Danio rerio: one gene and its partner. The protein of the gene in region 1 interacts with the protein of each later gene in a biochemical or structural test. Links are inferred from orthologs where the notes say so. Each region holds a gene or a part of one and is shown on either strand. Other genes may lie near its edges.

Evidence for each region. The genes of interacting proteins can lie anywhere in the genome.
Region 2: the proteins of ptpn1 (region 1) and ntrk2a form a complex in vitro, tested with the Homo sapiens proteins (2 studies listed by BioGRID, with this or other methods). The link is inferred for Danio rerio from reciprocal best matches to the Homo sapiens genes PTPN1 and NTRK2.

What each region holds. Positions count from the first base shown.
Region 1 is NC_133183.1:30,336,870-30,340,525, forward strand, and holds part of ptpn1 (tyrosine-protein phosphatase non-receptor type 1), read left to right. Parts: intron 1-844; coding exon 845-982; intron 983-1,256; coding exon 1,257-1,466; intron 1,467-3,525; coding exon 3,526-3,656. UniProt on the Homo sapiens protein: Tyrosine-protein phosphatase which acts as a regulator of endoplasmic reticulum unfolded protein response. Mediates dephosphorylation of EIF2AK3/PERK; inactivating the protein kinase activity of EIF2AK3/PERK.
Region 2 is NC_133183.1:59,551,811-59,555,948, forward strand, and holds the start of ntrk2a (BDNF/NT-3 growth factors receptor precursor), read left to right. Parts: upstream 1-1,258; 5' UTR 1,259-1,528; coding exon 1,529-1,719; intron 1,720-4,138. UniProt on the Homo sapiens protein: Receptor tyrosine kinase involved in the development and the maturation of the central and the peripheral nervous systems through regulation of neuron survival, proliferation, migration, differentiation, and synapse formation and plasticity.

The sequences.
Region 1 (3,656 bases):
GGCAGTATCCCCTTAGGAAACTCCGTTCCTTTGGAGTCTGTAAAGACATTTTGTTGTATTATTCTTTCATAGAGAATATCACATTTTCCATTTCTTGTTTATTTCATTCTATTAATTTACAGAATAGAAATCGGCTACAAAGTGTTGTTACAGTGTGTTCTAGGATTATTGGATTGCCTGTTGGATTGCCTGTCTCTTTCAGGCATATGTGATCAACAGACTCTTAGGTTAGCAAGAAGGATTATTAAGGACCTCTCACATATTCTCCATTCAGCATTTGAGCTGCCCCCTCTGTAAGACGGTTTCGTTGCAATGTGTGTAGAACTCAAAAAAGGAGAGTCACTTTTGTTCCTAAAGCCATTCTGCTTTTAAACTCCAAAACGTAACTCTCAAACTGTAACACATTTCAGGATGCATTTTAGAAATTTTTAATTCATATATTTGTCAGTATTTAATGTTGTTATTGTCATTTATCTATTTGTACGTTGTGTTTTGTGTGTTAATGATATTGTTTTCTTTTGGTGCTGCTCCATATGTCTTGAATTGCCCCTAGGGGACAAATAAAGTTCTTTGAATTGAAATTGAAATTGAATGTAGGAGAAATGACTGGGAATAATAAACTGCAGAAAACTACTTGCTCTAGATACCAATGGCTGCTCCCACTTGTACGTGAAGAATAAGATCAATAATGTGGGCTAAAAAAAAATAACATTCCCTAATCTGTAACATTAATTTACAAATTCCCACTCGATCACTTTTAGCTTGCATTTGGGATTGATGTGTTTGTGTGTGAGGCTAATGTTGTGTTGTTGTAATGAAGAAGTGTATGTATGTCTGTGTTCAGGTGAAGTGTGCTCAGTATTGGCCTCAGCGAGAGGAGCGGGAGGCTGTTTTTGAGGACACAAACTTCAGACTTACTCTGATCTCAGAGGACGTGAAATCGTACTACACAGTACGACAGCTGGAGCTGGAAAATCTGTCGGTGAGGCTCTTGATCTTCCCCTGATCTCATTCAGTCCTGCTTTCGCTCATCTGTCAATCTCTGTCACCGATCATTCTATGCCGAGACTCTCTGCAATCCCTCTTCTCTCCATTTAGCTGACATTTTAGTTTTTCAGAGCTTCTTTAATGCTGGTCAGGTTGTTGCCTTGACTCAATACTCTCAGGATATTACAGTTGCCAGAGGCTCGATTCTGACAAACACACTCATCTTGATTAATGCTATGTCGTGTGTGTGTGTGTGTGTGTGTTTAAAGACACAGGAAACCCGGGAGATTCTTCATTTCCACTACACCACATGGCCAGATTTTGGCGTTCCGGAGTCTCCTGCTTCTTTTCTTAACTTCCTGTTTAAAGTGCGTGAGTCGGGCTGTCTGAGTCCAGAGCTTGGTCCTGTGGTGGTCCACTGCAGCGCTGGCATCGGCCGCTCTGGGACATTCTGCCTTGTAGACACCTGCCTTCTATTGGTGAGATAACGGAATTTTTTCCATTTCAATTCTGTACTCTTCCAATGTTTTTTTTTTCCCTAATGAAATTAAACTTGATAGAGATGCATGTCCATTACGACTTCAACTCGCATAGTTTTCACCTTTATTTTATAAAAAGTGTGGGGAGCAGTGAGAGGGGAAGGATTGTCTTAGGACCTTGAGATGGGAATCTAACTCAAGTCACCGTGAGCACCAGAGTGCCATGTGTTGAAGCACAAACCACTAGGCTATTGGCATTTTTATAAATCAGTGTATTACATAGAATAGTGGTTCAATTTAAAAAATGTCTTTTAAGAATCATCTCATTGATAGCGCTCAGTCACCAGAATGTGTTTTTCCATTACAGTGAGCTACTTTTCCATTGTTTTTCAATGTATATTTCCTTTGAAGGAGGTGCATAACTGTTACGATTGCAACTCAATCTTTTGAAGCACTGCTCACATGATGAGCCAAATTTTTTAGACAGTGGCAGGTCAAATGAAGAAAAAAATCTGCTTTTACATGCAGCAGCCACTTAACAGTGTCTGTTCTAAAGCAGTAGACCAATCAATTAATTAACCCTTAAATCATACACTGCAAGTTTCTGTTAAAGGGTGTACTCACACTAGACACTTGCATTTTTTGCCTTCCGAGCCTTACATCATCGATGATTTAACTGTTCAGTTTAACAGAAGGGAAGTGCTATCGCTTGGTACAACAGAGATTGGTTTAGTTATATTATTTAGTATTATTTTAAGTCTTTTGATATGCAGTGACACACAGTCGGATTATTTGCTGAACACATTTGACACTCAATGTTCATGAAAGTCATTGTGCTGCAGGTATTAGGAGGTCTGCTGAAGGTGGCAGCTGTCATGCAGCGGGTTTTTTTTATCTTTAATAAACTGTGACAGTTCACATTAACTGAACAGTTAGAATGATTGCTAAATCCATGTAAAACAGTCCCTTAAAAGTGATGTCGGGTCTTCAGTTTTGTGCTCGGGTGCGCTTTGCACTCAAACTACTAACGGACCGCACCAAAGCCCAACTGAACTGCGCTCTGACTCACCTCTTCCAACCGGGCTCGGGCCGGCCAACTGAACCGTGCCTTAGCCTGGCTTGGAGCACTCCCACTTGTCAAATGTGCCTGGGCATGGTTTGGATAGCCTAGTGTGAGAACATCCTAAATGCGCTCGGTGGCCGAATATCCGAATACCTTTGTGTTCTACACTGCCTTTTTTCCTCTCTGTTCATTTTTATTAGTACCACAGCACTCTATGCTATTTTTTGTAATTAAAATTAAAAAAATAAAACAAACAAAAACAAAAATATAATTTACACAGAAGTGATTATGGTTTTTCTACACAGGTGTGCATGAGATTTATTGTTTACGCTAAATTTGTAATAGTTTTAATAATGTGCACACTGAAAATGTCATTTACAGAAATAAAATAAAAACATACCATTGAGTCTACAATTTAATTAAGCAAATTATATCCCTGCATTAGACCTCGCTAGAAGTGATGTGATGTAGTAAAATTACTCAACTAAAATGCTTTTCTCCCTGAATATTATAATTCGGAAATGTGATATATAATTTACTACAGTTCAACAAACTATAAGTACCTATTGGGGTACATTGTAAGGCAGTCTGTCTGTTTTTGATTATGACAATGAAAACACTTTCTAACAAAGTGGGAGCAGAGCTTTTGTGCATCTCCTAGCAACACTGATGTTTTGTTTATAAATGATTCTGTTTTTGAAATGAACTGTGTGAGTCATAAGGCTCTTTAAAATAAATAAATGTTGCAGCCTTTAAGTATTCAGTTTACAAATTTCAATAAATAAATAAAAATGGAATGAAAAAAATGCTTGATCATTTTTCGTATGTTTAACAGTAGTATCCTGAGCCTCTTGCTGCACGTCTTTACATCTCGTATGTAATTCATTAGACAGTCAGTCCAGTGTAGGCGGATTTGCTCTTTCCTTTGTTTAGAGCTTAGTGGAAAGTTTGTACTTCTCTAATATTCTCTAAACAACTGTTATTGTGTTTTGTCAGATGTCTCAGAGGAAAGATCCATCATCTGTACGCATTCAGGAGGTTTTGCTGGAAATGCGACGATACCGCATGGGTCTGATCCAGACGGCTGACCAGCTGCGTTTCTCTTACCTTGCCTTCATAGAGGGTGC
Region 2 (4,138 bases), about 29 Mb from region 1:
AAGTACAATGATAATAATCATATTATTATTAATAATAATAAGTAATAAAACATAAATAATAATAATATTAATAATATTAAGTTCTAACACTTATAGGTAACAATAATATTAACATTAATAATAATAATAATAAGTACTAATACAGATAAGTAATAATAATGATAATAAAAAATAACACTTAGAAGTAATAATAATATTAAGATCAATGATGATAATAATAATAAAAATAATATGTAATACATATAAATAATAATAATATTAATAATATTAGGTTATAGCACTTTTAGATAATAATATTAACATTATTAATACTATTATTATTAGTTTAATACTTATATATATAAGTAATAATAATGATGATAATATTAATAAGTAATAATACTATTAACATATAATAATTATTATAATGATAAGTAATAATAATAATAATTATTATAATTTTTGGCGACGCAATGACACAGTAGGTAGTGCTGTCGCCTCACAGCAAGAAGGTCGCTGGTTCGAGCCTCGGCTGGGTCAGTTGGCATTTCTGTGTGGAGTTTGCATGTTCTCTCCGCATTCACAAGGGTTTCCTCCGGGTGCGGTTTCCCCCACTGTCCAAAGACATGCGGTACAGGTAAATTGGGTAGGCTAAAATTGTACGTAGTGTAAGAGTGTGAATGAGTGTAAATGGATGGTTTCCAGAGATGGGTTGCAGCTGGAAGGGCTGCATAAAACATATGCTTGATAAGTTACCAGTTCATTCCGCTGTGGCAACCCCAGATTAATAAAGGGACTAAGCCAAAAAGAAAATGAATGAATGAATTATAAATTTCAGAACAGAGTATAAATAAATAATAATTAAAATTAGGTTATCATAAGCTATCATCATCTTCATAAAACAAAATTTATTAAATTTATTAATTAGTTTAATAAATAAATAAATAAATAAATAAATAAATAAATAAATAAAAACATCCCAAAGGGAACCATTTCGCGTCATTTTAGCTGTAGTCAATTTTTCTGCCTTTGAACCTGAACGTTATTCTCCGACGACGAGTGAGTCAGTTCCACACAAACACACACAGAAAAACAACGAGCGCAACTCATTCCTCCATATACATGCATTCAAATAACCGTTCACCTCACGAAGCAGCAAACACAACAACAACTCTACCTAAACCACATGATCAGTGCTAATTAGTAACCACGAGATTCTCAAAAAAGCATCCTCACAGCACTGATACACTATAAAGAAAGCCTTGATCAGTGTAAGGATGTTGTCAGGCGGTCAATAACGCGTGTGAGTGAGTGAAGGATTGATTGATGTGTCCTGCTGGTCTCCTCCCCTCAGACGCGCGCATCATCCAGCGCGTCTCCAGAGCGCGTCTTCAGTCCGCATCCGAGCGTCATTCAGCGCAGCATCTCGGGCATTCGTTCTGTAGGAATATACGGTCACTCGCTGTTGCTTTTTCTGCTCCGGCTCTGCGCGTCTCCAGACTCCGGGTTTTTTTCGGGGGTCGTTAAATCTGGAGGTGAGGACCCGGGGATGAGCTTCGGCATGACGGGCTGCGGGTTCGGTTGGGCGGTGATGCTGCTCGCGCTCTGGAGGCCCGCGACCGCTTGTCCGGAGCTCTGCACGTGCACGGGTTTGCGGATCTCCTGCGTGGACGCGGAGCGCAGTATTATGGCTTTCCCCAAGCTGGAGTCCGAGGCGGACATGGAGAACGTCACTGACATGTAAGTCATGCTGGGGGTCATATACACTGAAACAAAAGCGATACATTGGATTTACTCCGGTTTTTTAACCGCGGTAAAGTTTGACATTCATTAGAAATTCGATTTCAAACCAATTAAATTATTTGCCCCTGCTATAGTTTGAGCCAAAAATATCTCAGATAGGTATAATTATGTGTCCTTTATGTTGCACAAGGCTTAATCGATAAAAAAGACCAATTAAACAATTCAACGAAATTATACAATAAAACCAGTAGCAAAATGTTCAGAAAAACACCCTGCTTATTGCACAAGACTCTGTTTTTTGCAATTAGCACTTTATTTATTTTATTATATTTTTAAAATAACTTTTAATGTAAAAATGGTAAAAGTTTTGTTTTTCACAGTTATGCCTTTGTTGATTTTATATACAGTACTGAATCCATATTTTCAGTAATTCGGATACACTGTAAACACTTAAATGAATTAAACACTGACACCATTTGAGATAAAAATATACAAATCAACTCTAAAATTGTCTAAATATTATTCCCTATGATGCACAAGCTTTGTTCTTTATTGTTATGCCTTTGTTGATTTTATATACAGTACTGAATCCATATTTTCAGTTATTCGGATACACTGTAAACACTTAAATGAATTAAACACTGACACAATTTGAGATTAAAAACACAAATCAACTCTAAAATTATCTAAATATTATTCCCTATGATACACAAGCTTTGTTCTTTATTGTTATGCCTTTGTTGATTTTATATACAGCACTGGATCCATATTTTCAGTAATTTGGATACACTGTAAACACTTAAATAAATTAAACGCTGACACCATTTGATATAAAAAAAACAAATCAACTCTAAAATGATCTAAATATTATCCTCTAGGATGCACAAGCTTTGCTTTTTACTGTTATGCCTTTGTTGATTTTATATACAGTACTGAATCCCTATATTCATTATATCGCTACACTGTAAATGATTAATCAAGACTAATAGTTTATAGCTTTGCTACTGTAAACGCATTTAATGAATAGTAATAGTTTATAGCTATGCTACTGTAAACGTATTTATTGAAGACTGATAGTTTATAGCTATGCTACTGTAAACGTATTTATTGAAGACTAATAGTTTATAGCTATGCTACTGTAAACGTATTTATTGTAGACTTATAGTTTATAGTTATGCTACTGTAAACGTATTTATTAAAGACTGATAGTTTATAGCTATGCTACTGTAAACATATTTATTAAAGACTAATAGTTTATAGCTATGCTACTGTAAGCGTATTTATTGTAGACTAATAGTTTATAGCTATGCTACTGTAAACGTATTTATTGAAGACTAATAGTTCATAGCTATGCTACTGTAAACGTATTTATTAAAGACTAATAGTTTATAGCTATGCTACTGTAAACGTATTAAAGACTGATAGTTTATAGCTATGCTACTGTAAACGTATTTATTAAAGACTGATAGTTTATAGCTATGCTACTGTAAACGTATTTATTAAAGACTGATAGTTTATAGCTATGCTACTGTAAACGTATTTATTAAAGACTGATAGTTTATAGCTATGCTACTGTAAACGTATTTATTGTAGACTAATAGTTTATAGCTATGCTGCTGTAAACGTAATTAATGAAGACTAATAGTTTATAGTTATGCTACTGTAAACGTATTTATTGAAGACTAATAGTTTATAGCTATGCTACTGTAAACATATTTATTGTAGACTAATAGTTTATAGCTATGCTACTGTAAACGTAATTAATGAAGACTAATAGTTTATAGCTATGCTACTGTAAACATATTTATTGTAGACTAATAGTTTATAGCTATGCTACTGTAAACGTAATTAATGAAGACTAATAGTTTATAGCCATTGCCTTTTATTGTGGTTCCAGCTGATTGGTGTGTCTACAGTTTTGCACCAGTGTGCCTGCACATCTGATGGCTGTGCTTAACCAATTGGCATCAGTCTTTGCTTTGAAATTGCAAGGAAATTTCATCATGAAAAATTTCTGTGTCAAATGCAAACAAGCGTGTTTAGTGATTTGCAATCTAAGCTGATCTAGCCTTGTGCTTTGCTCCTTGAGTGTACGGTTTTGGTTGTTGTGGCAAAAGTTAAACTTTAGTGTGTAAGCAATCATAAAAAAACTGTAAAATATGCAACAAAAGCTAATTTTACTTTCAAACAACACAACTTGCAAACAAGTATATGAGCTCTTTTAATCAATAGACAACAAAATGCAGAACTCAGTGTGAATCAGTGCATCTTTGCTTGTCCTTGTAGCCCATGCCGTTTGTTGTCTTTCTATTTGGGCTGTCAAATTTGCCTTTTTGCAAAGAACTGGATCCAGAATGTTGAATTCATGACATCAAACTGTGGCTGAAAACTGAAATGCTGTTACTGTAAAGAACAA